2 linked regions of the Drosophila melanogaster genome follow. The protein of the gene in region 1 interacts with the protein of each later gene in a pairwise test. Each region holds a gene or a part of one and is shown in the gene's direction. Other genes may lie near its edges.

Region 1 (15,879 bases):
TATATTTATTCCCTGTGTAGTAGTACTCTTAAAGCGAATACTTTATGAGGTGGGCCGCCAATAAACTTAGCCCACGGGCAATCGGACGGCCAAAATGGTCCGTCAGAAGGCAGGAGGTAAATGCAAAATCCCAATTACAAGCCGATTTCGTGGGATCTGGCCGCCGGGTTCAACTGAATCAGTCGAAAATTTAATTGAGCATTCAAAGACGCATTGACACGTGCGACAGATGAAATGCGTCGCCAGGAATCAGGAGTTGCAGGGCCAGCCGAAGGACTCTGCTCTAAGCAATGCCAATGGAATAATGGGAATGGAAATGGGAGGACATCAGGACATCAGGACACCAGGTTCATTCAATCCCAGTGCCAAACTCGAATTGCTGCTGTCAGCCAGGAATGAGAACGTTGCCAGGCAAAATTTATCCCACAGTTTGTGTTTGTCACTCTATTCCGGCTTAAACTCCGGAATCAGCTGCTCCTGCTCCTGGCGTTGGTCCTTCACCTTTCTGTTGCGGTACATCCTGTTATCGAAGCTGTCTCCACGAGCAGCCAGGGGTCAGGAGTCGGGAGTCGGGATTCAGGTAGGTAGCTGGAAGCTGGAAGCCCAACATGATTGGCAGTTCAGGTGGAGGCTTAGCCCAGTAACGAATGTCCAAAATGCAGCCATGTCCCGTAACCTGACAATTTTTCTCGTCCACACCTGACCCTGTTTACCCATCTTGCTACCAAAGCTGTCATCTCACTGTCATTACATCATCCAAAACAGCAGATGGGTAACCATTATCGTAGCTATACAATAAAAGCTTTGCAATGAAACACATTTTATTCTTGAATATAATTTCATTCAGCCCAATAAATTCTATTCAGTAAATCATTAGAACTAATAAGCCGATAGACTCGGTAGAAAAATCATTACTTTCATTTATTATTAATATTAGGCAATTATAATAAGTTTAATCAATTGAGTTATTAGAAATTACAAAGATGATTAGCAATTAAATGGAATGAGGCATTCCAATTGAAACGTGCCTCAAGCTACAAAACTTTGCCATAATTAAGCAAGGTGTTTTACGCATAACTTATTACCAGTGGCAATGTTCTGCCAATTTTAACATGTTTGTATGTACTTACTCCATCTTTTCTTTCCGTGTAAATCCCGGAGCTACTTGTGCAAAGATCAATGCTCCAAACCGAGGCTACTGTTGGCCAACAATTACAAGCCTCTGGGACAGAAAGCACTGCTGATTGGGCTTCAAAGCCGTCACGTCGCCAACTAATTATCAACATAATTAAAAGGTGCCGTGACAATCCCCGGCGGGTCCTAGCCACTGACTGATTATTGGCAAAAAGTGTTTAAGTGTATTTCATTTGACTCGGTTCAGTATTTTCCTTTCTAATTGAATCACGTTCGCCGTGGTTTGGGACTTTGGCCGAAATGGGCTCGCTCCCCTTTGGCCCACATTTTTTTCATAGATAGTTCATTCAAAGCAGACACGCCCACAGTTCAGCCCACAGTTCAACACGCACGTGGGGCATCCTGGGGGACGTGCAACTTAATCATCATCAAGTCAACATTAGTCACACCCGCAGCGCGTTATCCTTTAGGCTTATATGCATGTACATATACATGCGGTGTGCGGTGGTGGAGGTGCGGAATGAGGACTCAAATGTCATTGCAAATGCCATTTGCAAGTCCCTTTGATGGCCACGACAATGAAGACATTTGGCCAAGAAAGCGAAGGCCCAGCCTTGTGGCCAGAACAACAACAGCTGCCCTTCGATACTTGCACTAAGCTGATAATTATGCCTAATGCTATTTGTTGATAGTTTAGGGGAGTGCACTCCTTGCGGGGATGTGGCATCTAGATTAGCGCCATCAGCGGAGCGGCGCCGATTTCAATACGAACGTGCAGTATTTGGGCTCGACTCGACTCATCAGCTGCACTTGGTGATTAGCCAGCGGATACACAATACACATATATAGACTGTGGGCATTATCTAAAGCCGTAGGGGAGGGTATCCACCTGGTATCCATTTCAAAAGGTTAATTACGCACGTTTGCATATCACGCGCCACATGCCGCGTTCAATGTTTATCTAAATTGTTATTGCCACTGACAGAGGCAGTGGCAGTGGCATGGGTGCCACATCAGTGGCACGATTGGGGTGAATGGATGGATAACCCTGGTTTCCCCTTCGATAGCATTGCAATTTAATTAAGTCACGCAGCATTTCGATTTGAGCTTTAAATTAAACATGCACAGGAACGCGAGATTTCCCTAATGAGAGCCAGCATGTTTGGACATTCGATTGGATACGGAACAGCGTTGCGTCGTTAAATTGGATTCTTTTCGTGGTGCAGATGCAAACAAATGCGGATATTGCGCTAATTGATTCGAAGAATCTGAACAGATCTGTGTTATTTTTGCCCATTTATTTAGCTACTACTTTGACTTGCTATTGTCTAAGTCACTTTCTATGAACTTAGTGTACATTATAGTAAATTTAGAATGTAGGTTTCTAAAAAACTCCCTTCAAAGTAGTTGGAAAAAGTATGTTTTTAAACATTTAGAAATCGTTAAACTCTATTTTCGCAGTGTCTGAGCTGTCAAGTCGTTTCTTTGTTCGCCGTGCACACCTGGGCCAACAAAGGTGGCAAACAGGAGCTCAAATATGCAAACAAGCGCCAAATTTTGCCTGCCTGGATGGAGTTGCTTCTGACTGACATGGCTCCTTCGGTTGTCCTTTGGACTCCTTTGGACTCGCCCCGTGTTCGTTCGGCTTGTTAGCAACCCGGCTGTCTGCGACTGAGTGTTGTCGTTTGTGCCACGTTTGTTAGAGGAGGCAGCCGAGCATGAGGCGATTGCCTCCTTGGCTCCTTGACTCCGGCACGTGCTGCAAACTGACTCACTCGCTTGTTTTTGTGTTCACGATGCAATTTGCTTGCACAGACAACTCGTTATTTTATTGTTTGCCTGCATTTGCATTATGCACTTTACAACATAAATTTCCGCCCTTCACTTCCGCACTTTCCACACTTTCCGCACCTCATTTCCAACGGACCAGCCATCGTGTGCAGGTGACTAATTCGCTGTCGTTTTCTTGTTGATTGCTTATTTGGCAGTGCCGCGCAAATAGCATTTGGTTGTATCTCACCTGTCTTACGCAAGTGAACCTCCTTCACTCACCTGCTCGTTGTTTTATTTCCCGGCAAATGCAAACTATGTCACTGTGTATCTTTGCTGGCCTTTGTTCAATTATTGCACTTCTGCAGCTTAAACTGCAAAATCCTTTTAGCGCTAAACAGCTCGACGCACATTAGAGACATTTTAGTTTCGTTCTGGATGAGACAGTTGGGAGTTTTGTGTTCTTTTTTGAAGGCCAAAAGGGGGCGTGGCAAGGCCAATCAGCTGAAAGTGTGGCAATTGAGGCGGCTGGTTGGCTGTTCTTATTTATTTTTTTTTTTTGCCCCATCTTCTACTGCTTGGTGTTGACTGCTTAAGAGCTTAAGTGATATTACACTTGAAGCGCAGCAATTTCGAACGCCGAATGACGCAAAGTGGGCGATGCGAATACATACGTTTCGGATTGGAGATTGAGAAGTGGGCGGTCGGTTACGAGGGGCGAAGGCTAAAAGCTTTTACGCCCCGAAAATGAGGAAATTTTGCGAAAAATTCTAAAGTGACACTGCGATAATCGCGTAATCGATGAAGACTGTCATTATCCAGGCAAGTCAATAAACGACACTTACAATGGGTAAAAGTCAGCGAAGCCAATAACAGCAACATCACTCATACGCAAGGCACTTGAAAAAGCATGCTTTTACATTTTTGAAAAGTCAGCTGTCAATTTATTTACTAGCTGAGCGCATTTGAAATGTACAATTTTCAACATTTACTTATAACGTTTCTTCACTTGAAAAGCTTCTTTTGGTTTAGAGATTTAATTAATATTTTTTTGTGAATGCTAAACCAAACGTTTGGTATAGAATATTAATATTACATTGTGGCTATGCTTGTTTCTAATTAAAAGTATTTTGCTCCATTCTACATTTTTTAACTTTTTTAACCTTCTTAAACAAAGGCGAACAGTTGGGCTTAGTCCCTCTTAGCCAAATATGTTCAAGTTTTGATTCCACAATTGCCAACAAGGAGAGGGTCAGGCGCAGGCAGATTCAATTTGACAGTTGCGAGAATTCAATTTTCTTGTCGTCGTGTTGCGGATTAGTTTCGTGCTTGTCCTATTAGAGGCCAGAGGGAAACGAGGGTCGGCACGACAGTTGGATGCCACACCAACTTGAAAGCTGCAAAGGCAAGCTGCGAACTGAAGAAGTGTGGTGTGTGCAACTTACCAATGCACACGCACAAATGAGAAAAGTTGCAAGTTCCGAAAAGTGAAGGAAACTTTATCCAACTGCTGCTGATGCCCACCATGCTTTTGCGGCCCTCCCGACAGTCATGGCCAAGTAACCAAGTTTGCGGCCAAGTCATGTGCGTGCGGCATTGAAATTGACGCGCCATCAAAAGGAACAATAAAGAAATGGGATGAGGATGAGCGGCCACACCAGCTGCAATCCTCGGAAATCGGAAATTGGTTCAATCTCCAGTGCATCGCATCATCGAAATGATTGACAACTCAAGGGTGAAACCAGAGATGTGGTCGAAATAGAGTGCGGAGTGTCATGGATGTTCGTAAAATTGGGCAGCAGCCACAATGGAAACTTTATTAATTGAGCTATTTTCAAAGACCAAAGATTTAGCCATCAGTGCAGAGCCAAAAAAAATTATATAAAAAAACCAAAAAAAAAAAGAAAAGCTCTTTAACAGTCTAAAAAAATAATTTAAAATGGGAATAAAATGCACAAAACACCGAAAATCAACATAATTGATTGCAATTTAAAATTCCTATTGTCATATACAATTTAAAGTTTTACACTGTTTTGAAAAAAAAATCTGTGTCTTTTATTAATTAAGCTCATTGCTTTACTTTTGTTAGCCAACAGCAACCATCTAATATCTGAAACAATATAGGGGGGCACACAAGAGTATGCTACAGCTTTTGCCTGGAGGCTTAATTTGTCATATTTGCCCCGCATTAAGTTCACTTCATCCACAAAGGCTGGCCTAGGAGAAGAGTGGACTAAATGACAACTGAATGGACCGAAAGATTAGAGTGAAAGAGGCTCAGCCGACTGACTAAATGCTTAAATACCTAAAACACCGAACGGATGTAGGAACAGCACGCACCGGCAAACAGAGAATGGAAAACAATTTGCTGGCAACGTTTTGGGCTCATTGTGGCAGGCCTACAACTTCATCTTCAGTTCCCAAATCCACCAGCTTCGGCTTCACCATCTCCGCTTCGAAAAAAAAAGTCCAAAACCCTTTCACCCATCCATGCCAATTTCTTGCTCTGTTGTTTGCCGTATTTGTTGCGACAGTGGCCCCCAAATCAAAACCGAAGCAGGTTGATGGATTACAACCAAAAGGCGGTAGCTTCAACAGATCTCCTCCTCCGCCTCCTCCTCCTCCTCTGGGCTGTTGTGGGTGTGGCCAGTGAGAAGTAGAAGATGTGGCAGCTGCACGATTAGGCTTTTGTTTGGCTATATGTCGAATTTCTATGGCCACACCCCAATCCAATCCTAGCCAGCCTTTGTATCTGCGGCCAAAGTGATTTGTGTGCCCTCGGGGTATCGGCAAGTACGTTTAATGAAGTGAAGGGTTAAATTTGCCAAGGACTTTCGGCCCAGTTCGGACCGGTACAGAAGAAAATGCCAAGTGGAAGCCGCTTAGGCAAACACAAAGAACTTGCGCCAGCAAAGGGAATCAAGGCGGAAAATCTCATTCCATTCAGGCAGCTCAATTGGAGAAAGTGTCGGTTCCTTAAAGTGGGAGTGTCAAATTTTAAAGCAAGAAGAACCTAAAACCAGGCAAACAGTTAACAAAAATATGTTTCTCTGTATGTCAAAAATTCACTATTTTTATTTAGAAATTTAGTTTAAATATTACATTTAAATATTCACAAATTTGTATAAGGTATTTGTACATCCTAAATATATATATTTTAAATGTTGCATTTATAAATACTACTCTAACTGAGGCATTAATACTAATAATAAGGAATAAAATATTTATAATGTTCCAACAATTATTTCTTTAAAATAGTTTATGCAAAACTTATAATTTAAAGTTTACATTCTTTTTTGGAACCGCATTTGATAGAGTATGAACCTTACCTGCTCTTGCCAATTACGCCTAGATGACTTTGAACGACCTTCACACACACACTGTGCCGCGAACACACACACACACACACACGCATGCATGCATTTGCCCATCTGATGGGCAACGAAATCATTTATCATAACCAACGGCAGCGGCGCATTTCTCTCAAGTGGCGAATGTGATTGCGGCGAAAGGCCGGCCAAAATCCATCCAGCCAACGAACCTTCATATAGCCATAAATCTGCGGACTGGCCTAAAGTTGCGGATATGCGAAACGGCGACCGGCAATGGCAACCATTTGTCTAATTTTAATGGGCATGCTAATAGAGCCATATTGCTGGTCAGACGGACGGACACCTGACCCTGACCGCTGGCGAATCCGTAGGGGTCCTGGATCCGTTTCCCGTCGACTTTTAATTTATGTGCGGCCAAAAGTTTTTGGCTCATTAAATACCTCAAAATGGTAAATGACTTACGAGCTGCGCCGCAGATGAAGATGCCTCTCCAGACGATTGACTTGCCGCATGAACGTGCCCCATTCCCGTGCCAGTACCCGTTCCAGTTCCTGCATCATTTGCTGAATTGCCGCTACGTGCCGCATTATCGGCCACAAAAAATCTCGGTCAGATGACTTTTCAACTGGCTGCCGCCGTCGCTATTGATGAGGTCGAATTTAAGGTTAAGGAAATGGCCAAGACGCTCGGCCATATTTGCCTTTGGCTTTTTAATGAGTTCGGGCCCGTTTGGGTTTCCTTCGATCCGCCTATCTGAGGTCAGTTTCCGTTGCTCGTCTGCAGCATTTATTAATGGGTTTCCCCAGACATTTCTCAACCGAAAATCAACCAAAGGCCCAAAAGAAGGCAATACAATATTATTGTTATTTATCTGTTTAAAAATGTTCAAAAGATAAGATAATGCACGAAGGGGAGAAATTGCGTTAAGTACTTCGGGACCGTTGGGCAAATAATTTAAAGTGGAAAAAAAATGTATTTAAATATTTTAAAAATTAATGTTGTTAGAAATTACATGTTATACAGAAAATTTTAATTTTTTCATGTATGCATACATTCATAGCAGTGGCATTCGCACACTTGAGCTGCGCTTCGTCACTACATGTGATAGTAGCTCTTTATAATTACTAATATAGTTTAATCTGTCAGTGTACGTAATCTTTGAACGTCAATGTATATGTAATCTCAAAGTGGCATTGTTTAATCTCTGAGTTTTTTCTCAACGCCTAATTTTTGTGCAAATGAAACTGTAAAGTTTTAAATCAGCTCTTTTGACTGTGGCGACAATAAATATTTATCGTGCCCGCATTCATATGCATGGAATTAGCTAACACAGTGCCACGCCCCTTTTGGGCAAACAATTTAATTTAATTTTCACACCTGAACGCACAGTAAAATCCCATACAAAGTGGTTGTAGTTTGGCGTTTGTTTAGCAACGAAAAAGGACCTCTGGCGCCGTTCAGCAGCAGCAAGGATGAAGTCCTAGACTACAAACATATATTCACATGTGCTCACGGCAAATTTAATTTTAAAAAGCAAATCCGGAAATACATACGTATGTGTATATATGTATGTGTGTACGCTGAACCTCAATCAGCGAGAAATGCCCGCAAACGCGCTGCACTTTTCCGACCCACTCAGCTTTTCACCCACTTCATCCATCCAACCAGCCCCTTGGCCCACTCACATCTCTTCACCTGTCTACTCGGGCTCCATGTCTAATTGTGTATGCTTTGTGGCCAAAACTATGAGGATGCTGTTGATGTTTTTGTACCACCTCTTGTTGCAGCACATTGGTTGCCTCCCTTTGTTGCCCCTTTTGTTGCTGACTGCACCTATGTACAATATATATGTGTGTATGTTACACCAACTCACTGGTCAGTTAATGCAGCTCCTGGGCGGCCCGGGCCAACAAAGTTGTGTGTTTTATTAGTTTCTTTTGGGGGCAGTTGCCACATTTTGCGCTCACCTCTGATTGTTGTGCTGTAAATTGCATTCGGTGGTCAACAAAATGCATTTGCCAGCCAGGTCGGGCCTGAGCTTCATTTGTTCTTCATTTTTTATTCGCATTTTCAACTCGGCTGCTTCATTTAAAGTGCCATTAGGTGTGGCTCATACCTTAATTTGGTCGAAATGCTGCCACAGCATTACGGTTGCTATTAGCCAATGTTGTTGCAATGCAGCAAACACACATAAGCGGCCACACTTACATATGTATGAGCAGATAGTCGCACATTTCCGGTTGTGTGTCCGTTGGGTTTTCTTTATTTCGTTGCTACATTTTTCTCGGATTTTTTTCCACAATTTGCTTCTTGTGTGTTTGTGTTTTTTTTTTTTAGCTTTGCTCCAAATATTCAACACTTTCGCTCAGGCACCAGCGTAGGACCACACACACCACCCGCCTTCGTTTTTGTCCACTCAGGTTGCTCACTTTGGCTTTACTTTTTTTGCCAGCTTCTTTTTTGTTTTTTTTTTTTGTCGGGCCAGCAGCTCGGTAGGTTTGTTTTTAATTAAAACAACAATGCAGTGCCAGAGCCACACTTCTGTCCGGCATCTAACCCGCTTTGCACCACCCAGGCCATTCAACCACCACCCAACCACCCACAAGCCATCCTGCATGCGAGCACACATATTATTTCCCACTCACCCGGTTCGTGAGTGACTTGTTGCTGTTTTCGCTGGCGTTGTTGTTGCTGTTGCTGTTGCAAGTGTACTGCATGTTGCTGTTGTGCTTTACTTTTGCGCTTACAATTTCATTTGGCCCGCTTTTCCTGGCACCAACTGGCCGGCCACCCCTTTTGGCCAGAGTGCCCTTTGTTTTGGCCTTTGCTTGTGTGTTTTGTGTGAAAAGTGATAAGTGAAATATGCTTTTTCAGCTGCATTTTCAATTTAGTCGTTCAATGCAATTCCAATTGGATATTGCCAATGGCCAAGTTACAAGCCAACCACCCCATCGCTCCACTCGTCTCAACAAGGGGCAAGGTAAATCGAAATAAAAATAAAGAGTAAAAAAAAAAATGCTGGCATAGTGTTTCGCCATCTGAAATGTTCAAAATTGATCCGAGAGTTCACACAGAAGTCGTTTAATTGAGACTGAATTAAAATGAATTCCAACTGTATTGTGCGCTGAAGTGTCATCGTGAAATGACATCAGTATAAGCAGGGATTGGGTCAATCATTACTACACGGAAAAACAAATTGTCTTTAATCTCGGAAGTAGCGAAAAGATTAAATTTCATATTTAATAAATTTGTATTGGACTATGACTTTAGTGTTGTATTACTATAATCATGCATCTTAAAAGCCAAACTGCTTTAAGTTTAGTGCATGTCTTCTGCCCATTTAACATACATGACTGGAGTTGGCCCTCTTCTCGTCCAATTTTCCTTACCTTTGCTGGAAGTTCGCTGAACCTGTTGACTAATTTCGAATGCATCTCGCGACAAGACTGTACGTGGGCCAACACCTGACAGCCACGTGACACTATCTTGCCACCCGCCCCTTTCTGGCAGAATAATGGGTTTGTGGGCGTGGCACACGAGCACAGAACAAGCATTGTCCTGACAAAGGACCTCAATGGGTTGAGAGAACTGCAAGTGGTGTAAAAAGTGCATTAGTGGGAATGATTATCTTAGCAAATGGTCATTTACTCCAACCATGGCGTCGAGTTCATTGGGCTAAACGGAGCAGGCCATTCAGTAGATTGAATGGGCAAAGGAAGTCCACCCAGTAAGCCGTGTCATTTGTTCCGTTCGACATGTATTTCAGGCAATTTAAAAACTCAGTCAAATACAACATAAGTCTCGAAAAAGAAGTTAGGAAAATTAGTTTAAATTATAGTTGAAAGTGGGAGAATTTAGCCAAGTAAAACGTATAAAGAGAAAAATAAAAATGACTTTCAAGAAAATACTATTTGTGTGCATGGGTAAGAAATGAGATTTTCTTTTCAATTTCTTTGCCATTTTGCATGAAAAACTTACGTCATTTCGAAGGCAACTCGTGCAGCTCTCCGATGGCCGAGGTGATTATGCAGAATCTGATGGTCAAGACGAGTCTCTACTGGGAGGTGGATAGTGCCGGTCTGAGGACATGGAACACTGGACGGCGACCGAACAAGCGATGCCTGCAAATTCTGCGAGAGCACGGACTGCGATCCGATCACTTTTGTCGTCAGGTGAACTTATCCTAGCGCCAACTTATGAACTCCACATATGTATAGATTCTTACTTCTATAGTTCACCGTGAATGATTTTCTGTACTTTGATTATGTTGTGGCAATGGATGAGGCCGTGTTCAAAGAACTGCTCCTCTGGGCTGCGGACAACAGGGCTGGCAAACACTGTCAGGTACTTCTTCTGAGTTCGTTTGGCAAGAATGGACTGCCGGCCTTTATAGACAGCCTATCCCCAGTGAGTTAATTTGAGCATTAAGCAACCCACTTGTATATGTCGAACAATTGCAATCCATCCAGACCCACAAGCTAAAGAACTTTCGATCCGCCTATTACCAAATCAAAGAGTGCTGCAAGCAGCTCATCCTTAGCCAAAAAGTGGACATTGTCAAGTACGAGCTACCCAGCACTGATGATGATGAGCTCTACTACTCTGGCAAGGATAATGCGCCGCAGGACTCGGCCAAGGCGAATCACTTGACGGAAACAAGCCATAACAACAGTGGCATATATCTGCTAAACACGGAGATAAGATCCTCCGGTGGACTGATGTCCTCGTCGACCGACCCATCCAACTCGAAGACCTCGATGCCATCCTGCAGCCAAGGAGTGCAGCGAAAACTGTGCCAGAAATGTGGACAGAAATTTCTGGCTGCCCTTTAGTGTCAAGAACTAATATTCAAAGGCGGCAAATTAACCTTGCGCTTAGATTATGTAGCGTATGAAATTAAATAAAATTGACTTTTATCTGGCAGCTGTCCGCCGTCTATAAGTCTTCTGCGCCTCTTTTGATGAGCGGCTAATTGGGTTAGCAAACATCTATAAAGGGCTGGGAATTCGGCCTCTTGGCACAGATCCACTTCGATGAGCCATCGTCTAGTCAAAGGGGTTGCGGGTAGCTGAGCATGGAGCGCAGTCATTTGCCGGAGACGCCATTCGACCTGGCCCATTCTGGGCCCAGGTTTCAGGCCCAGTCGAGTGGCAATGGTTCCGTGCTGGACAATGTGAGTGATTGGGGGAAATGATTTATGTTAGTTCTAGTTTTAATTGTAATCCTTTGTGGTGGCACTTCAACTTATTGCCTTCTTGCAATCCCGCAGGTGCTGCCCGACATGGCGCACCTGGTGAACCCCTACTGGAGCCGCTTTGCGCCCATGGATCCCATGATGAGCAAAATTCTGGGATTGTTCACCCTGGCCATTATGATCATCTCGTGCTGCGGCAACGGAGTGGTGGTCTACATTTTCGGTGGAACAAAGTCGCTGCGCACGCCGGCAAATTTGCTCGTTCTCAACCTGGCCTTCTCCGACTTCTGTATGATGGCCTCCCAGTCGCCGGTGATGATTATTAACTTCTACTACGAGACTTGGGTGCTGGGTCCGCTGTGGTGCGACATCTACGCGGGATGTGGCTCGCTCTTTGGCTGTGTGTCCATCTGGTCCATGTGCATGATTGCCTTCGATCGGTACAATGTGATAGTGAAGGGTATCAATGGCACACCCATGACCATCAAGACGTCTATAATGAAGATACTTTTCATCTGGATGATGGCTGTCTTTTGGACTGTCATGCCATTGATTGGATGGAGCGCCTATGTGCCCGAGGGCAATCTGACTGCCTGCAGCATTGACTATATGACGCGTATGTGGAACCCGCGATCTTATTTAATCACCTACTCCCTCTTCGTTTACTACACTCCACTGTTTCTCATCTGCTACTCCTACTGGTTCATCATTGCCGCCGTGGCAGCACATGAAAAAGCGATGCGGGAACAGGCCAAGAAGATGAATGTGAAATCCCTGCGGAGCTCTGAGGATTGCGACAAAAGTGCCGAGGGAAAACTGGCCAAGGTGGCTCTAACTACCATCTCCCTATGGTTTATGGCATGGACACCATACCTTGTCATTTGCTACTTCGGACTCTTCAAAATCGACGGATTGACCCCACTGACGACCATTTGGGGAGCGACTTTCGCCAAAACGAGCGCAGTCTACAATCCGATTGTGTACGGCATTAGGTGAGTGAATAAATAGGTTTAAAAAAAAAACAATTTCCGTTTGATATCTATATCTAATTTATATGTTTCTTAACTTCCTTAGCCATCCCAAGTACCGCATAGTTCTCAAGGAAAAGGTATACCTTTTTAGCCATTCTAATGTTATTCACTAATCCTTTCTCGCCCTTTAGTGCCCTATGTGTGTGTTTGGCAATACGGATGAGCCGAAACCGGATGCACCCGCTTCCGATACGGAAACTACATCTGAGGCGGATTCAAAGGCTTAAATCGTGAAAAAAAACCAACGCAATTGCCTGCAAAGGGCACAGAAAAGTTTAAAAAAAGTGATGCAATATCGTAAAGTGATACAAAAATGTAAAAAAAAAATGGAATAAACCTCAGTATAACAAAAAGTAGTTTCCTAAAACTTTACAAAATAAAGTTAGTTTGCAAATTGTTTTGAAACTTACTTATTTCTAATAGTATTAAATATTGTAAAGTTGTAAATCTTGTTACCAATGGCTAGTTTGTGTTTAAACTATTAATTATACAAATTTCTCGTACACATATATGTAGCTATATATATATAGCTATAATTTTAAACCCATTAAGTTCTAAAAAGCTGCACCATTCAATGCTGACTTCCATATACCCAAAGTATTCAGCGACATCTCCTACGAACGCAATTAAATCACAGCAAATGATTGAACTTGTGAATGGAAATATGCATGCATTTTGCCACTCACTCATTGCATTCTCATTAGTCCCCCAAACCCAAAACTCTCGTAATTTTGAACTTCCACGAAGGCGGACCCTCCAGCGTTGCAAAATCAACAATGCCAGTCGCAGAGTTCAACTCCCTGGCGTCTCGGGCAGATTCATCTTCATTGACACACATTTCCACGCAGCTAATGTCGCTATTTGCTTTGTGAGGGTTTTGTCTCGCGTCTAATGATTATAATTACGAAACAGCCACCACCCACGGCCTCCAGCCTCCTACACAACCCACACCACTCATTTGCCTAATGAGCACTAGAATGCCATCCCCTCCCACCGAAATCACACCCACCCAGATTGAGATGAAAAGCTGCACTGACGGGTCTCGAGTTGACTGTCTAATTAAAGTACATCAGAAAGCACTGGGTGCAAAGAAAACAGACTCGTTGCCTGCCAGCGATCCTGGGAAGACTCCAGGGTATTATCAGTGCCAGATTTTAAGTCTGCTTGCTCCGCTCGCCTGTCGCTTAGTGGTAATTTGGAGGAGTGACCTCAGCCTTTCCATGTGCAGACGGGTGACGTGCTCGATGCAGTCCTTAAACGTTTGCTCCAGCTCACCACTGTAGAATACCTCGATGCATTTGGTCGTTTCAGTGTATGCACTATCCAATACTTCACGGGCAGCAACCTTCTTCTGATTCTCCAGCTTGACGTAGAAATCGTGGATCTGCGCATCCACGTTTTTGGCTGCCCTAGATGCGGTGTGGATTCTATGCTGGTCGTCGTAGTTCATCTTGGAGGCCACAGCTTTGGCCATTTGCTCCCATCGCGGATGCGCTGCTATCCATATCGTACACAAAAGTGTTATCAAAATAATACCGAAAATGGTTGACAGCCAACTCATTGTACACTAAGTGGTTCGAACTAAAAAATTTTGTGATTCTGTTTAGAATAAATGGCTGTCATAGGCAGTACACACCTTGACATCTCTATACAAAAGTAAAATTCCTTAAACACAAGCACGAAATACAACATAGTAAAACAAATCCATCCAACCCTAATAACTTTTTATTATTCCGAACATATTCCAAATCTGTATAACATATTAGACTTCTATGAGATTCCTAAATATTCCTCTATGTGGTTAAACTTTGTAAGATGATTACGTTAATTAGCAGAAGAAGCCAATTCGGGCGGCACCAGAGGTGGCTCCATAAATGGGCCAGTGTTCCGCGGCCAAGCGATCCAAGGCAGTATAAAAGCCAGCGAAGACGGCTTTAACACAAGTCTTGTGAAGATCGACACCTTGGGTGGATTTCAGCTCAGCCTCGCAATGGGATAAAGCCAATTTCAGAGTGTCCAATTGGTCATTGGCATCGTTCCGGGCCTCAACACTGTTGGGTAGCTTTCCTTGGGCCACAACTTGAGCGATTTTGAACTGTTCATTGGCCCAATCAATTGACTGTTGCACGGCCACATTTTGGCCAACCGATTGTCCGGTCTATTGAGCGCATATATATGAAAAAATAGATTATTTTTAAAGATTTTTTTTTGTGTTTAGTATTATTTTCAATTACCAAAACAACCAAGACGCAGAAAGCTATCAGCACTGCACTCGACATTTTCTGGAAACTTTCAATGACCGACTGAAGCACAATTTGAAAAACTCGAAAGACATTCAAACTTATCTTCTGTTTGCGCTTTGATAGAGTTTACAGCCTCCATTATCTCACCATCTATCTGAGTGCAATACGAAACGATAGCCTCAACCCCATTATGTTTTATGTTGGTCCATAAGCGTATATTTGCTGGATTAATTAGATAACTTTATCAGCGGAAGTGGCACTCGGGAATCAAATAACAGTAGCAAGTGCTAATAGCAAACTACGGATGAACACCATTCAGTTTGTGGGATGATTCACTATTGGATTGGAACTTTGGTCGTGAACGGATTTAGTTTTTGCACTAATTTTTGCGACCCACAATATCGTCGAATAACAAACGAACTAACGAACTTTGACACAGTCCAAAGCCGCAGAAATTTTGTTGCCTACTTTGGGGGGCACACACAACTTTTGCATCAAAACAAAAAAAGCCGCAAACCGAAAACAAATTTCCATACATGCACTTTCCGTAGAATCCCTTCGTATGTGTCGCATTTTGCTTTTATTTCTTTTTTTTTTGTTTTTTAATTTTTTCCTCTAACCAATTTCGGATTTATATATACTCTTAGTTGGGCAGTTGCGGCTGGATTTCATTCTGTGCTCGAAATTACCATTTTTTGTTTTGCTGCTGCTGCCTGAATTTCAAATGCCGCAACTTTTGCATTACCAAAACAGAGCTTAAGGCGGTTCATTCGGTTGAGGTTTAGTTACGGAGGGTTGGTCGATCAGTTCGCGGCTAACACTACACCAAAGTTGGCCAAGTTTGGCCCGCATTGTTGTAATGACGACGAACAAACTCGAATTTCAATACCGAAATACTTTTATTAATTGGCCCAAAACTTTTGCACTCCCCATCTTGTGAAGCGGCGGATGTTGTGTATGTTGGAAATTTACATTTAATTAAATATTTCAATCTGAATTCAAACTCGCCCCCATTTAGGCATTGTTCGTGGCTTATCCAACATCCAATGGCCCCTTCGTCATTTGGTCATTTGGTCATTTGTGGCCGGTCCTTGGCTCGTTAAGCCAAGCCATTTAATAACCACAGGTCCTAAGCCCGGAATTCGAATTGAAATGCAAATCCAAAAGCCATATCA
Region 2 (16,250 bases), 3.8 Mb from region 1:
AAGCAGCTGCTGCCGTATGTAAATGAAGATGTGCTGGCCAAAAAGCTGGGTGATAGGCGCGAGCTTCTGCTGTCGGATTTGGTAGAGCTAAATGCAGATTGGGTAGCGCGACATGAGCAGGAGACCTACAATGTAATGGGATGCGGAGATAGTTTTGACAACTATAACGATCATCATCGGCTGAACTTGGATGAAAAGCAACTGAAACTGCAATACGAACGAATTGAAATTGAGCCACCTACTTCCACGAAGGCCATAACCTCAGCCATATTACCAGCTGGCTTCAGTTTCGATCGACAACCGGATCTAGTGGGCCATCCAGGACCCAGTCCCAGCATCATTTTGCAAGCCCTCACAATGTCCAATGCTAACGATGGCATCAATCTGGAGCGACTGGAGACAATTGGAGATTCCTTTCTAAAGTATGCCATTACCACCTACTTGTACATCACCTACGAGAATGTGCACGAGGGAAAACTAAGTCACCTGCGCTCCAAGCAGGTTGCCAATCTCAATCTCTATCGTCTGGGCAGACGTAAGAGACTGGGTGAATATATGATAGCCACTAAATTCGAGCCGCACGACAATTGGCTGCCACCCTGCTACTACGTGCCAAAGGAGCTAGAGAAGGCGCTCATCGAGGCGAAGATCCCCACTCACCATTGGAAGCTGGCCGATCTGCTAGACATTAAGAACCTAAGCAGTGTGCAAATCTGCGAGATGGTTCGCGAAAAAGCCGATGCCCTGGGCTTGGAGCAGAATGGGGGTGCCCAAAATGGACAACTTGACGACTCCAATGATAGCTGCAATGATTTTAGCTGTTTTATTCCCTACAACCTTGTTTCGCAACACAGCATTCCGGATAAGTCTATTGCCGATTGCGTCGAAGCCCTCATTGGAGCCTATCTCATTGAGTGCGGACCCCGAGGGGCTTTACTCTTTATGGCCTGGCTGGGCGTGAGAGTGCTCCCTATCACAAGGCAGTTGGACGGGGGTAACCAGGAGCAACGAATACCCGGTAGCACAAAACCGAATGCCGAAAATGTGGTCACCGTTTACGGTGCATGGCCCACGCCGCGTAGTCCACTGCTGCACTTTGCTCCAAATGCTACGGAGGAGCTGGACCAGTTACTAAGCGGCTTTGAGGAGTTTGAGGAGAGTTTGGGATACAAGTTCCGGGATCGGTCGTACCTGTTGCAAGCCATGACACATGCCAGTTACACGCCCAATCGATTGACGGATTGCTATCAGCGTCTGGAGTTCCTGGGCGATGCTGTTCTAGATTACCTCATTACGCGGCATTTATACGAAGATCCCCGCCAGCATTCTCCAGGCGCATTAACGGATTTGCGGTCAGCACTGGTGAATAATACAATATTCGCCTCCCTGGCTGTTCGCCATGGCTTCCACAAGTTCTTCCGGCACCTCTCGCCGGGCCTTAACGATGTGATTGACCGTTTTGTGCGGATCCAGCAGGAGAATGGACACTGCATCAGTGAGGAGGTGTGTTAAAGGAAAGTCACCAATAATACGACAACTAATTGTAATATTCTTTCTTGCTTTCAGTACTACTTATTGTCCGAGGAGGAGTGCGATGACGCCGAGGACGTTGAGGTGCCCAAGGCATTGGGCGACGTTTTCGAGTCGATCGCAGGTGCCATTTTTCTCGACTCAAACATGTCGCTGGACGTGGTTTGGCACGTATATAGCAACATGATGAGCCCGGAGATCGAGCAGTTCAGCAACTCAGTGCCAAAATCGCCCATTCGGGAGCTCCTCGAGCTGGAGCCGGAAACCGCCAAGTTCGGCAAGCCCGAGAAGCTGGCGGATGGGCGACGGGTGCGCGTTACCGTGGATGTCTTCTGCAAAGGAACCTTCCGTGGCATCGGACGCAACTATCGCATTGCCAAGTGCACGGCGGCCAAATGCGCATTGCGCCAACTCAAAAAGCAGGGCTTGATAGCCAAAAAAGACTAAGAAGTCATCGCTGCAATCGTGTTTCATTAGATTTAATGATTATTTTTTTAGACATAAGAACTTTAATTGTACAAATCTTAAATAGATTGTCTATGGTCGAATAACTGTGCAGAATTTCCTATCTTCTTTTATACCTTGCATTATGAGGTATTATTGCAGAGGAAATCGATGTTGATAAGATAAGAAATCGTCATCAAACGAAAGTCACTGATAAGCTAATCACACCTTAAATGCTTAACCTTTCGCGAACTAAACTCAGTGAAAATTTGCCATTTGATAAGAAATGTCCGCTCCTGTAGAGGGTGTTCCCTATGAGGAGATCCAGACAAAAGAGGTTTGAGATTATCCACGGCCAGCTGGATTGGATGGCATTATAAATTCAACGTGCAATTCCATTGCAGCTTATAGGCACCGGATTCTATGGCAGCGTATACAGGGCGGTCTGGAGAAATCGTGAGATCGCGCTGAAGAGAATTCGCGAGGGATGTGAGGATAAAAAGATTGAAAGAGAGATCTACCAGCTGACAAAGGCCAGCCATGTCAACATAGTTGAGCTCTACGGCACATCGAGGCACGAGGGATGCGCCCTGCTGTTGATGGAATTCGTAGACGGTGGATCTCTGTCCAGTTTTCTGCACGCGAAAAGCAAGCCAAGTTATTCGCATGCCCACGCCTTCAACTGGGCGCATCAGATCGCTCAGGTATGGTATGAATGGTATCATCACCATAGTAGATAGTAGAAGCAAAGACACTAGAATAATGCAAAACAAGAAATTCTTACATGGTGCCAATTGATCCAAAATAATATAGATATTTTGACAAATTTACAATGCATGAGCATACATGAACATACGTGTGCACACATGCAGTGGTCGGCTGTCACTGTATGCGTAGAAAAGAGCTGTTCGCTGTAGAGCTCTCCGCTCTCTCGCTCTTGAATAAAAATGAGAGAGAGAGAGCCTTAGGCAACCTCCTCTAGAGCCACGCCAAAAAAATTGTTACGCATCTTGTTATTCTAGTGTCTTTGGTAGAAGCGTGGTAGCTATTGTGCCCAATAATACGGACGGTTTCATAGGGCATAGCCTATCTGCATGGCATGCAGCCGAAAGCAGTAATTCATCGCGATATAAAGCCACTCAATACACTGCTATGCGAGAAGGGACTCAAACTGAAGATTTGCGATTTCGGAACTGTTGTGGACCTATCCCAATCGATATCGTGCAATGCGGGCACCTGCAGATACAAAGCGCCCGAGGTAAGGGAGTTGTTTGATTTCAAATCCAATCGAATAATAATCAACCAACCAACCGGCTTTCAAAAGGTTCTACAAGGAAATAAACCCGATGAAAAGTGCGATGTGTATAGTTGGGCTATTACCTTTTGGGAAATATTGTCGCGCAAGGAGCCATTTGAGCAATATAATACGCTTTTTGAACTGTACATGGCTATTAATGAAGGCAAGAGATTATCTCTCGATATTATTATTATTATTATTATGTAATAAACTTATGATTTCAGGCGAGAGACCGGATTTAAGTTGCATTATGTCTGGCTGCCCCGCGGATATAGTTGCTCTTTTGTACGCTTCTTGGGATCCGGATATCAGCAAAAGATTTTCTATGGAACTGATTTCCCAAAGCATGGGTAGAATCCTAAGTGAGGCGGGATCCATTCCACCACTGGATTTTTACTCATAAAACTAATTCTCCACCCTTTACATTCGTTATTAAAAACGGATATCGTTGTGAACGTTAAACACTATTTTATTTTCTTGAAAACTCTCCTGAAGTATTTACATTGTACGGGATGCTGTACGGGTTATGCGGATAGGTTGGGTGGGTGGTTGGTATGTGGGCTAGATGCCTTTTGGGTTTTGGAGCGCCAAATATTCAATTCAAGGCTATATCCAGTGAACTGCAGAATAATTTGTGGAAGTACATAGTTTGTTATTTTCGTTAGATGCGGGTATAGGTATTAGGTATTCGGTAATGCATATAGGGAATTTATAAAATATGATCTAGGCATATGTTTTACAGTATATGGATCACTAGCAATACGTTTGTTACTGATAATGTTACTTAATCTGGTGATGTTTTGTTTTTGTCGTTTTTCTTCTATCGAATGTAAATTTAAAAAATTAAATTTTAAAACGCTTTTAATAAATATATTCATATGTGTTTGTATATATATTTTGCTTGCTTGTTAAAACAAAATGATCCTCGCTCATGTGTTGGTTAGTTACACAATGGAAAACTGTAACGTTTCGTAGAGTTTCGTTTTTTTGGAGTATAATTGTTTCGTTAGTTATAGGTTGCTTCTTACTTATTCCCTTTTGTTTTGTTTTTTAATTGCATTAATTGTTACATACTTTAAACTTATATATATATAACTATATATATATATATATATATATATAAACATGCGTGTATGTAAGCATAGTTTAATTAATTCAATTGGTTTTGGTATAATTGTCGTCTTTATACTCGCTATAATTGTTTTTGTTTCGTCTTTTTTTCACCGCACGTTCCTGCCTACGATTTGTTCAATGTCTTCATATATATATGGATATATGGATGTTCAAGCATATATATTCCCTTTGTATTGTTGTAATTTAGGTCGCATTTAATTTTGGTTGCATTTGCTTCGCTTCATTTCGGCGTTGAATCAAAATCTTCTCATTAAAAACGAAAACGAACGAAACATAATTATGTTCTGATTGCGAGATGTGATGGACGAATTCGAATGATTTGCTAATAAACTAACAAATCCAGAGATAACGTTGAATTATGAAAAAGGATGGCTTAGTTATAGTTGTTGCGATATCGCCAATACTCATACCTTATGCTGGTTTACAACTTAAACAAACTTATCGTATATGGAAAAAATTAAAAAAAAAAGAAAAAAATATATGTTCTTAAATTGTTAACAAAAGGTGTCAAAAACGTTTTTATTGCTGTCAGTTGCGTGTGATATGTTTTCGGTTGTGGTAAGAACACAGGTATCAATAAATTATTACAAAATAGGAGTTTACAAACGAGTGATTATACTTAAAAGTCGGCTTGGCTTAAAACATATAACTGAACGGCTCGGGGACATTAGTACAAGTACAAGCTGAGTACTGGACTGGTTTGGTAAAACTATTTTACAAAAGGTAAAAGAGCAACACATATATTCGAGTACATTTGGTGTTGTGTATCGCGCAAAACACTGGGACAAACACATAATTTATAATATTCGAAACGGATATACATATGGAGCACAAATGGAGAACAAATATTTTGAAAGCGTAATCGGCATGAAACGTTGACAATGACGATGTGGCTGACATTGTGGCTTTATATGTCGTGGTTACACCTATTCCCTCGATTACGTTCATATACAAATTCTAATTTGGATTCTGCTCACGATTAGGATTGAGATACATGGGGAGTACATTGCTATGTATAATGTAGCTGAGTACGAGTATGAGTACAATATTGTAAGAGGTCTAATTTCAACTGGCACCTGCTCTCAGTTTTCTACGGAAAAGCAAGCTCTAAAAGTTGCCTACAATGCTGGGGAACTCATGTGGCATGCAGTTGTATATATGTAGGGGTTTTTGGTTAATGCGATTAACTTTCAGAATTCCTAGACGTACATACATGTGACTGACTGACTGACTGACTACATGATAGATGTGGGTCGTGTGTTTGTGGCTTGTCTACGATTACCTTTCGAAACGAACGAACACAAAATCAACTCATTGGGTGTAACGTCATCTAAACAAATGCCGAGTACTATAAGATGGTGGGTGGGGGGTGGTTTATAAGATGGCTACGGATTTTTGGTTTGAAATGGTCATGATATACACAATCATAATTGTAACACATTCGCTTAGCTGCAAATTGCTTCTGTTCTTGAGTCTGATTTAAATCGAAATCTATGTGTGTCTGTGTGTGTTGTTGGTTGGTTGCTATATACTTATTCTACAGAACGACGTCAGGCAGGTCGTGCGGCCTTGCCTAGGCGCGCATTTGGTTTTCATGTACGATTTTCCTTTCCTTATAGTAGATCTCCTCCGACTCCTTGTCGCAGAGCAGCAGGACAACGGCCCCAAATAGAAAGATGGCCGCACCCCAGCCGACGCCATAGGCCCAGCCAAATTCCCAGACTCGTCGATTGGCTATAACATTAAATGGAATACAAGTCAGTGGAAAGAAGTTCAACATCAAGGTTTCAGGCTACCATACCCATGGTTAGTTCGCCGGCAAAGCATACTGGATATACGATCAAGGCGGACAATACGGCCAGCACTGCGAAAAAGTTATATTTAACATGTGATTCTGACATAAGTTCAGCTAGTTACTCACAGGATACAAGCATCACCAATACTGCTATACGATAGAACTTATACTTTAGATTATGATTCTGCGTCCGGAGGCCCAGACCTGTCAGTACTGTGGCAATGACGTCCGTTATCAGCGTGATGATGCACAGAGCGGCTGTGGCCTTAATGTAGCCTAAGGGACATTATACGAATTATATGTTAAATTCGAGCTTAAGATTGCTGTTTCTTCATGCAATACATACCGACATCGCGGGTCCAGTAGCATCCTGGCGGATCCTGGATATTGAATGGCAGCGGCGGCACCGAATCATCCTCGATGCAGTGCACAAAGAGACCTTGCCGCCAGTCTGAGGCCATTAACCAATCTGTGGACGCCAGAGCCATAATCATGAGGGCCACCACGATGACGCCGCAGATAAATGCAATCACCTGTGAGGGCAGAGAAATCAGTCGGTGCAATCTGTAAACGTTTCCGAAACTTTAGGCCAAATGCATACCTTCAGCGGCCTCGTGATTGTGATGGTCTCAATCGTCGTGGTCGGCGCCATTTTCTCCGCTGGTGGACGTAGAACACTGCGCGCATGATAATTGTGATTAATTGCGGGGGTAGGGGTATTTTTACCGGCTTATTAGGCCAGCCAAACTCACCTTATCGACTATGTATATGCAGGCAATGTGCTGCCCGCAGCTACTAATTGGAATGCGTTTCAATGCGTTTCTTGGTTAGTTTTGCTTAGTGGGATGTTGGAAGGGTTTCTTTTCTTTTCTTTTTGTTTTTTTTTACTTTTTTGGGGCAGGCAAGTAAATGCTACGCCGGTTGGCTTTAACAATCTAATATAAATGCTTCAATTGGCGTTTTATTGCTTTTGGTTTGCGCGCTAAGGTTTATCCAATGCGTTTTCAATTTCAAATTGCTGGCGGAAGCAGCCCGTTCAACATCTGTATTGTCAAAGAGGGGGGATTTGTTTGTTAGCGGGACGGGAAATAGAGAAATTGGTGACATTCGATTAGACCGACTGGCGCACATGGTTTGTACAACATGATTGTTTACATCAAGACAGTTAAGTAAGCAGCAGCAACATGCAAAAACAACTCGAGCAACAATATCGACAAAGACAATGGCTAACTATTATGGGGTTTATTCCAATCGAACTGCATCAACGCGACAATTAAAACTACGGTAGTGCTCAAATTTTTAGGTTTTTAACTATTATCATTCTATTATCATGTGTAATGAACAACAACTATTGAACTTTAGATTTAGCATTGATATGCAAAAAAAATAGGATCAGAATTTGGTTGAGAGCAGAATAAACTTTAGCTATACTATTTTGACCAGAATTGTAGACATCAATGTAGTATGTATGTTTTGTATTAACTGACGCAATTTACAAAACAATGCGTTGGTACAGTTGAATGAGTTTGGGATTGTTTAAATTGAAATCGCTCTATTGTGCCAGACAAAAACGCGACGGAATATTTCAGTCATCATTGGGGGGCGTATTTTGGCTCAATGACAAAAGACGGAAGCTGGGGTGATGAGGTGCAGTCCCCACATAAATTATGCTGCAAGGCGGACTGCAACTAAGCATTTTGAATGCTGGAAATACCGACATGCTAATTATCCATTCGCATTCCATTGTTATACCCTAACTGAGAGTACAATAGAATAGGTCAGACTTGTGACAATTTATGTACGTTTGTAAAAAAAATATCAGCATCTTGAAATGAAATTTTGAACAAATATTATAAAACAGAGTCTTCTTATTATCGATCTTGCTCAATAGTTGCTAACAAATAGGAAGTGTATCAAAATTTCGTTAAAACTGCATATTATGCCTAATTCGCACGATTCCCTGCCAATTTTAATATCTTCAGATACGCAAACAAAGATGCATATGTTTGTGTAAGTAGATGTTGCGTCTAATGTATCTCAAGATATTTCGACGGGCTAGACGGAGATAAATATAGTTTTACATATAGCGGCTAGAAATGTGGAATAAAAACAAAAACACATTTCGCAGATGAGCGAGTACCGACTTTGTGTGTGTGAGTGTGTGTGTGTGAATGAGTGGCATGGCAACAGGATCATAACGGTTAATTGCTATATAGAACGTAACGGTAACGGCAGGCAAAATTGGGGCAAACGGCCAAATGCAAAACAACAACAATGGCAAGGGCGAGGGAATTCGTATACACGTATGTTTATATATGTGTGTGTGTGTGTTGTGTGCTATGCGGAAGAACGGAAGCAAAACAAAATGCGATCTGTTTGAGTTCAGGAATATACCTTTCCTTGTAATAGTCCAGGGTTACCGATTCGGAATCAAATTCTGAATAATCTGGCAGCGATTCGGCATCAAAGGAGCTCATTCCGCTGAGCGTGTAATTGGGCAAGACGTTCATTTTGTTGTTGTAGCCAACAAGGTTACCCTGCTGCTGTTGTTGTTGCTGCTGCTGGTACTGCTGATGCATAGTTGTTGCTGTTTTTTCTACGTTTATTTTACTATATTTGCCTTATTTAACAATATGGCACACGCACACACACTCACGCCCAGGAGAAACTGGCTGCTATATTTTTTCTCTATTCTCTTTTCGCTGCCTTTTCACACTCTCGCCGTCTGCTTTGCACTTTCGCAAAAATATGCGTCGGTTTTGGGTTCAACCTGTATGCACTTACACTCTGCTTGAAAAGCTCTGTCGCTTTTCCACTTTCACATGTTCCTCGACCACTGACTTTTCTATATAATCAAAAAATAAAAACGACGAAAATAATAATGTTTTGCTTCCCTCATAGAGCTGGAACTTAAATCGATGTTGTCTCGATACTATCGTTTTGGCTGGGCATTTCTCGATAGCGATAAAGTGCCATGGAACTATCAGTTAATTTACATTTACCGTCAAATTATTTAATTTAACGAAGAAAGGAAATTAAAATAGCTTACATTTCGGATGTTTAAACTTTTATCAAAGCGGGGGCTGTGCTTTATAAAAATTTCCTAACAGTGAGGGAGAGACACTATCTGTCACATGTTATATCGGGCATGTAAACAACGCAATCTGATAATATATATATATTGCTGTATTAAGACCAACCAGAGTAGAGTAAAAATTAAGAAATCAGTACGTTTAATTATTTTATTGTAAGACTTAAGGTCAAAAGAGTTGTTGGAATGCAAAATGCAAACTTTGAAGTTTTAATTAACACGGAATTCAAACAAATAATCAATTATTATAAAGATATTTTTAAGTGAATAAAATTTTAATTATTGCTTAAGCATATTAATCACTGTGCTTGGCGCTTTTGTAACGGTTTTACGATGTATATCGCAATGACCACTTCCACTGACACGAAAAATAACGAAATCAGTGTGACCGTTTTCCACCGTACGAGAACGTAAGAAATCGGCGTCGCGTGGCTTGGACAGAGATTATCGAACAAAACAAAATCCGACTACAGAATCTTTTAACTTCGTTTACCCTTAAGAGTCCGCGGTGGATCCGAGGAATCGATGGCTACGGACACGGTGTCCAACGGCGAGAACTTCGCCCAGCACTTGAGCAGAAACAGCGACGACGACGTGATCTGTCCCACATGCGACGTGAAGATCAAGCGCAGTCAGGTGGCCGATCACTGCCAAGTGGAGATGGAGCGATTGCACAATCCCATTAGCGCTGTCACTCCACCGACCCCAACTAGCGGAGCAACCGCGTCCGAGGAATCCGGTTCGGTATCGGGGGGCAGACAACCGTGGAGCGTGTTCCAGCGGGTGCAGCGCAATCGGCAGGCCCGTCAGCGCCAGCGCACCAGGAAGCGTCCGGCTTCTCCTGCCCCACCAGCAACTGTAAATCCTACGGTAGCAGCTGCTCCTCCTCCAGCTGCAGCAACTCCGTCCGTAGCTGCTGCCGAATCGAGCCAACCCACCTGTCCCGTGTGCAACCACAACTTTCCGCAGTCCAACATCCAAGAGCATGTTAATCATTGCCTGCGCCAGAGCCGCCGCAATGGTCAGGCCAATGGTGAGCGGCATTCGAGTGAGGACTCGGAGGACAGCGAGGAATATGAAGAGTACGAGTGGGCGGGACAGAAGCGCATTCGCGTCTCCACTCTCGTGCAAGGAGGCTATTCCGCCCTGGGCCTGGGCCAGAGAATCAAATACAATGGCAGTCAGCAGGCGCAGGACGACGAGGACGAAGATCTCAACGTGGACGAGGATGACACTCACATCTATGGTCCTACGCAGTATGGCGAGGGCGATGTGATCCCACTGGTCAACGAGGACACAGAGGGAAATGTTTCCGAGGCGGATGTTACCAGCTACGTGCGCCGACTTATCTCCTCCAGCGATGGGCCCAAGCCAAACCATTCCAGCGAAGCCACCGAGCAAGAGCCTGCCAGCACAAGCAACGTGGAGGCTCCACCAGCCAGCGAGGAGCCGTCTACGTCGCGGTCCACGCGATCCACCTCCCAAAACCAGCAGCAGATCATCGAATCGCTGAAGGCCAAGCTGCGGCTCTACGAAAAGCAGGCGCAGGGCAAGTACAAGTGCCTGATCTGCATCGACGACTACAAGAATCCCGCCATCTCCGTGTCCTGCTGGCACGTCCACTGCGAGCAGTGTTGGTTGCAGACGCTCGGCGCGCGAAAGCTGTGCCCGCAGTGCAACTCGATTACCACGCCGAAGGACCTGCGACGAATCTACCTGTAGACGTCCATCACAGACTTGTTATCCCCGCTGCCAAATTGCTTGCGCCATAAAACAGGCTTTGCATCCCGACGCAGCTTTAGATGATAATCCCCTATACATATTATTTATATAGATTACAAATACCAATTATACTACGTGACATTACAATAAGCCTACCATGTAACTATTGCAATAAACCGCAGAAAACATAATTAATATTTAAGTTTATTTAACGAAATTAGCATGTAGGAAGGGAAAAGCGTTTAAAGACATGCAAACAAGTTATTTTAAATACCTTATTTTGAACTAAAATAAAAAAGCAATCAATCCAATATTATATCCAATATTATTTTCGAATCACAAAAATGATAAATTATTCCACTATAATTTACAAATGTTTCATTTTAAGTAATAAATAAATATTTTTTACTGTGTACCGGTTTGTTTTCATGTTCAGTTATCGATAATATAATGTTTGCGTTAGTGATGAGCAAGTTTTGCCTGGTAGCGGTTCCTCACGCGCTCATCTCTATATCACATTGCTTGGTTTTCTGTTTAATTTTTCCACAATGTCCGGCTCCGGTGGGATTTAATTGGAAAAAGGAGTATTTGATCTGTACGCTAATCCTGTCTTCCTTGCAGGCGCCAATCCCTTTGCCCAGTTCCAGGAGTCATTCACCCAGGACGGCAACGTCTACAAGTATTTTGATCTGCCCTCCATCGACAGCAAATATGGTTGGTAATCGTTATTGTTGTTCGTTATCATTATTGTTGTTATCTTTATGAATATTATTAACCCCCCACAGAGTCACTGCCCTTTTCCATTCGCGTTCTGCTGGAATCAGCGGTGCGCAACTGTGACAACTTTCATGTGCTGGAGAAGGATGTGCAGAGCATCCTGGGATGGACTCCATCGCTGAAGCAGGAAACCAGCGATGTGGAAGTCTCCTTCAAGCCAGCTCGTGTTATATTGCAGGTGTGGATTATTGCATCACATAGATTATGTTTGTATGTGACTTCTTAAGATATTCCCTGCTTTCAGGACTTTACTGGCGTTCCCGCCGTCGTGGATTTTGCTGCCATGCGGGATGCTGTCCGCGAGCTGGGCGGCAATCCTGAGAAAATCAATCCCATCTGCCCTGCCGACCTGGTCATCGACCATTCCGTTCAGGTGGATTTCGTTCGCTCCTCGGACGCATTGACCAAGAACGAGTCACTAGAGTTCCAGCGCAACAAGGAACGATTCACCTTCCTCAAATGGGGAGCTCGCGCTTTTGACAATATGCTAATTGTGCCACCCGGCTCTGGCATTGTGCACCAGGTTAACCTGGAGTATCTGGCCCGAGTGGTTTTCGAAAGCGACAGTTCAGCGGACGGATCTAAGATCCTTTATCCGGATAGCGTTGTGGGCACTGACTCCCACACTACAATGATCAATGGATTAGGTGTTCTCGGCTGGGGTGTTGGCGGTATCGAGGCGGAGGCCGTAATGTTGGGCCAGTCCATTTCCATGCTGTTGCCAGAGGTGATTGGCTACAGGCTGGAGGGCAAACTGGGCCCTCTGGCCACATCCACCGATCTGGTGCTGACCATTACCAAGCATTTGCGTCAGCTTGGTGTCGTCGGCAAGTTCGTGGAGTTTTACGGCCCCGGAGTGGCAGAGCTCAGCATCGCGGATCGCGCCACCATCAGCAACATGTGTCCGGAATATGGAGCCACTGTGGGTTACTTCCCAATCGATGAAAACACGCTGAGTTACATGCGCCAAACCAGTGAGTCAATCTTAAAAATTATCTAAATTTATTACTTGATATCCATGGATGTGGATCATTAGATCGCTCCGAGAAGAAAATCGATATTATCCGGAAGTATTTGAAGGCCACTCGACAACTTCGTGACTATTCCCTTGTGGATCAGGATCCCCAATACACGGAGGTAAGTGAGATTCTGTTTTTCCAATGCAAAGACATACTAACGAATCACTTTTTTACCCTGCAGTCTGTAACTTTGGACTTATCCACCGTGGTGACCTCGGTTTCGGGGCCCAAGCGACCGCACGATCGCGTTTCAGTTTCCAGCATGTGCGAAGACTTCAAGTCGTGCCTCATAAGTCCTGTCGGCTTCAAGGGATTCGCCATACCACCGAGTGCATTGGCTGCAAGTGGTGAATTCCAATGGGACGATGGGAAGAGCTATAAGATAGGTCATGGATCTGTTGTGATTGCCGCCATCACCTCGTGCACGAACACTTCGAATCCCTCGGTGATGTTGGGCGCTGGTCTGCTGGCCAAGAATGCCGTGCAGAAGGGCTTGAGTATTTTGCCGTATATCAAGACCTCATTGTCACCAGGATCTGGCGTGGTTACCTACTATCTGAGGGAATCCGGTGTGATTCCCTATCTGGAGCAGCTGGGCTTCGACATTGTGGGCTATGGCTGTATGACCTGCATTGGCAACTCGGGCCCGCTCGATGAGAACGTAGTGAACACCATCGAGAAGAACGGACTGGTTTGCTGTGGCGTCCTGTCGGGCAATCGCAATTTCGAGGGTCGCATCCATCCCAATACTAGGGCCAATTATCTGGCCAGTCCGCTGCTGGTGATTGCCTACGCGATTGCCGGCCGTGTGGATATTGATTTCGAGATCGAACCGCTGGGCGTGGATTCCAACGGCAAGGAGGTGTTCCTGCGCGATATCTGGCCAACGCGCAGTGAGATTCAGGAGGTAGAGCATAAGCACGTCATTCCCGCCATGTTCCAGGAGGTGTACAGTGAGTATAGCTAGCTGACTAAGATTTTTCCGCAGCTCTAGGCTAACTGTGTCCGCTATCACAGGCAAAATTCAACTGGGATCCAGGGACTGGCAAACGTTGGAGGTGTCGGATAGCAAGTTGTATCCATGGAGTGAAATATCAACATACATCAAACTACCACCGTTCTTCGAGGGTATGACTCGTGCGCTGCCCAAACTTAAAGGTATCGAGAAGGCTCGCTGTCTGCTGCTTCTCGGTGATTCAGTGACCACCGATCATATCTCGCCAGCCGGATCCATTGCACGAAAGTCACCGGCAGCGCGCTATTTGTCGGAAAGGGGTCTAACGCCGCGCGACTTTAATTCGTATGGATCCAGACGTGGCAATGATGCGGTGATGGCACGCGGAACCTTTGCCAACATCCGTCTGGTCAATAAACTGGCATCCAAGACGGGACCCAGCACACTGCACGTGCCCAGTGGCGAGGAGATGGACATCTTCGATGCGGCGGAACGGTATGCGAGCGAAGGAACACCTTTGGTTCTGGTCGTAGGCAAGGACTACGGCAGTGGCAGCTCACGTGATTGGGCCGCCAAGGGGCCATTTCTGCTGGGCATCAAGGCGGTGATTGCTGAATCGTACGAGCGCATTCACCGCTCAAATCTGGTGGGCATGGGCATCATTCCGCTGCAGTTCTTGCCTGGCCAGAGCGCCGATACCCTGAAACTGAGTGGCAGGGAGGTGTACAACATTGTCCTGCCCGAGGGCGAACTGAAGCCGGGCCAGAGGATTCAGGTCGATGCTGATGGCAATGTCTTTGAGACCACGTTGCGTTTCGACACCGAGGTGGACATAACGTACTACAAGAATGGCGGCATTTTGAACTATATGATACGCAAAATGCTGGATTAGTTAGTGCGTTCGTTGACTTTTATATTCCATATGCATTTCTAGGCGACTTTTAATTGTTATTATGTGCTGGGAAATAAAATTTGACATTCATCTGTGAGATGATAATTATTAAAAAAAAAATATTTCAAATATTTTATAATATTTTAAATTGCGCGCTCTGGATGTTATCGATAGCAGAAATGCCGATGGCCAAACCAGTCCTGCTAAAAATGCCTAACGCCTGCTGGTGAATCATCGACAAGGCAGCAATAAAATCGAATAGTCCCTGTTATATCGCTGTTAACTTAACATAGTTCGCTGCTTCTTTTTTTGTCCGTCCCGTGGACTTTTCTCCAGAGGATTTTGATTCCAATTCGCAAAAGAAAAACATAAATAAGCAACAGATCGTGTGTTGGCCAATAGCTCTGCAGCCAGTGCTCGATATTCACTTGGAAGAACCGCGCAAAAACGCAACAACGCAGCAGGAAAGTCGCGCCTCCGCCTCCCCACCAAAAAAAAAAAACACAAAAAAAAAGAAAAGATCTCGGATCGCACAGGGTTTTATTTTGGGCAACCGCACTTGGACTGGTGGGTGCTTCGGTTCCCTCGACCTGTGGATAGTGCCCAGTGGCGTCGCGTCGCTTTGGATTATGTCATTTGTTTATGGGGAATTGCCGCAGGCCCAGTAGCCAATGTTGCATCCGAAAGAGGCAGCGAAAACCTGTAAAAATGTAGACTGTGTGCGTGTGTGTGTGGGCCAGTGCTAGTGTGTGTCCGTGTGCCGTGTGTGTCCACGTGTGTTTGTGTGTGCGGATAATGGACGTTTAGTTTTTGGTCGAATCCGCAAGATATATAGTGAAATAGGTATAGGCTAGAGATCCCAGGGAGCGGTAGCCATACATATATGTGCACAGCCACCGCTACCCGATGGCCACGTTTAATCCTGGCGCCAGCAGCAGTGCCGCCGACGTTCTGAGCGCCACCACAGCAACGGCTACTTTTCTGGTGCCCACCACTGCGGCAGTATCGCATCCTGGTGCCCATACCGCCCATCTGCAGCTGGATCAATTCGGAGGCTTCTCCGCGGCGACGGCCACTCCCCTGCAGCACCATCACCATCAGCAGACCAACTCGTCGTACACTTTTGTGCAGATCAAGAGGGAACCCTGCCAGGTGTCCGAAATAAGCTCGAACAATTGCCACCAGCAACAGCAGCAACATCACCAACACCACCAGCACCAGGTGCAGCATCAGGGCCTGTCTTCCGCCTCGATGACCGCCTCCTCCAAGACCATGTCCTCCTCCACACTGACCACTCTCGTCAAAATAGAGGCTCCCTCGCCAAAGGTATCGGAATTGGAAAAGTCCACAGGTAGGTGACACCCAGCCACTGGTCAAGAGCACTCCTCATCGGTTAATTACGATTCTATCAGGCAACTCCGTTCCCATTGGCATCGCCGTGGCCAGGAAACGCCCGCAAGAAGCTCTGGTGCCGGCTATCAACACCCCCGCTACGCTGCCGCTGCAGCCACCACTCAACAAGGACTTGAACTGCTTCGGCATACGCGTCGCTGACCTCGGTGAGTGCCAAGCTACACAGAGAGAAATGCAGCTT

The links.
Region 2: the proteins of CG14297 (region 1) and RNF220 interact in a two-hybrid assay, tested with the Drosophila melanogaster proteins (one large-scale study listed by BioGRID).

What each region holds. Positions count from the first base shown.
Region 1 is NT_033777.3:18,888,168-18,904,046, forward strand, and holds CG14297 (uncharacterized protein), read left to right. Parts: upstream 1-9,953; 5' UTR 9,954-10,125; coding exon 10,126-10,159; intron 10,160-10,226; coding exon 10,227-10,408; intron 10,409-10,469; coding exon 10,470-10,643; intron 10,644-10,705; coding exon 10,706-11,068; 3' UTR 11,069-11,175; downstream 11,176-15,879. Other genes in the region: Rh2 (rhodopsin 2), read left to right, coding at 11,311-11,409, 11,506-12,422, 12,505-12,538, 12,593-12,688; CG14294 (uncharacterized protein), read right to left, coding at 13,603-14,022; CG34284 (uncharacterized protein), read right to left, coding at 14,290-14,619, 14,696-14,740.
Region 2 is NT_033777.3:22,719,836-22,736,085, reverse strand, and holds RNF220 (ring finger protein 220), read left to right. Parts: upstream 1-9,671; 5' UTR 9,672-9,816; coding exon 9,817-11,013; 3' UTR 11,014-11,202; downstream 11,203-16,250. Other genes in the region: Dcr-1 (Dicer-1), read left to right, coding at 1-1,503, 1,567-1,977; Takl2 (Tak1-like 2), read left to right, coding at 2,261-2,311, 2,379-2,678, 3,053-3,232, 3,299-3,434, 3,496-3,674; CG45049 (uncharacterized protein), read right to left, coding at 5,979-6,139, 6,207-6,269, 6,327-6,476, 6,547-6,733, 6,802-6,877, 8,595-8,779; Irp-1A (iron regulatory protein 1A), read left to right, coding at 11,562-11,574, 11,635-11,727, 11,799-11,968, 12,035-12,764, 12,827-12,927, 12,991-13,762, 13,827-14,656; wge (winged eye), read left to right, coding at 15,563-16,007, 16,069-16,215.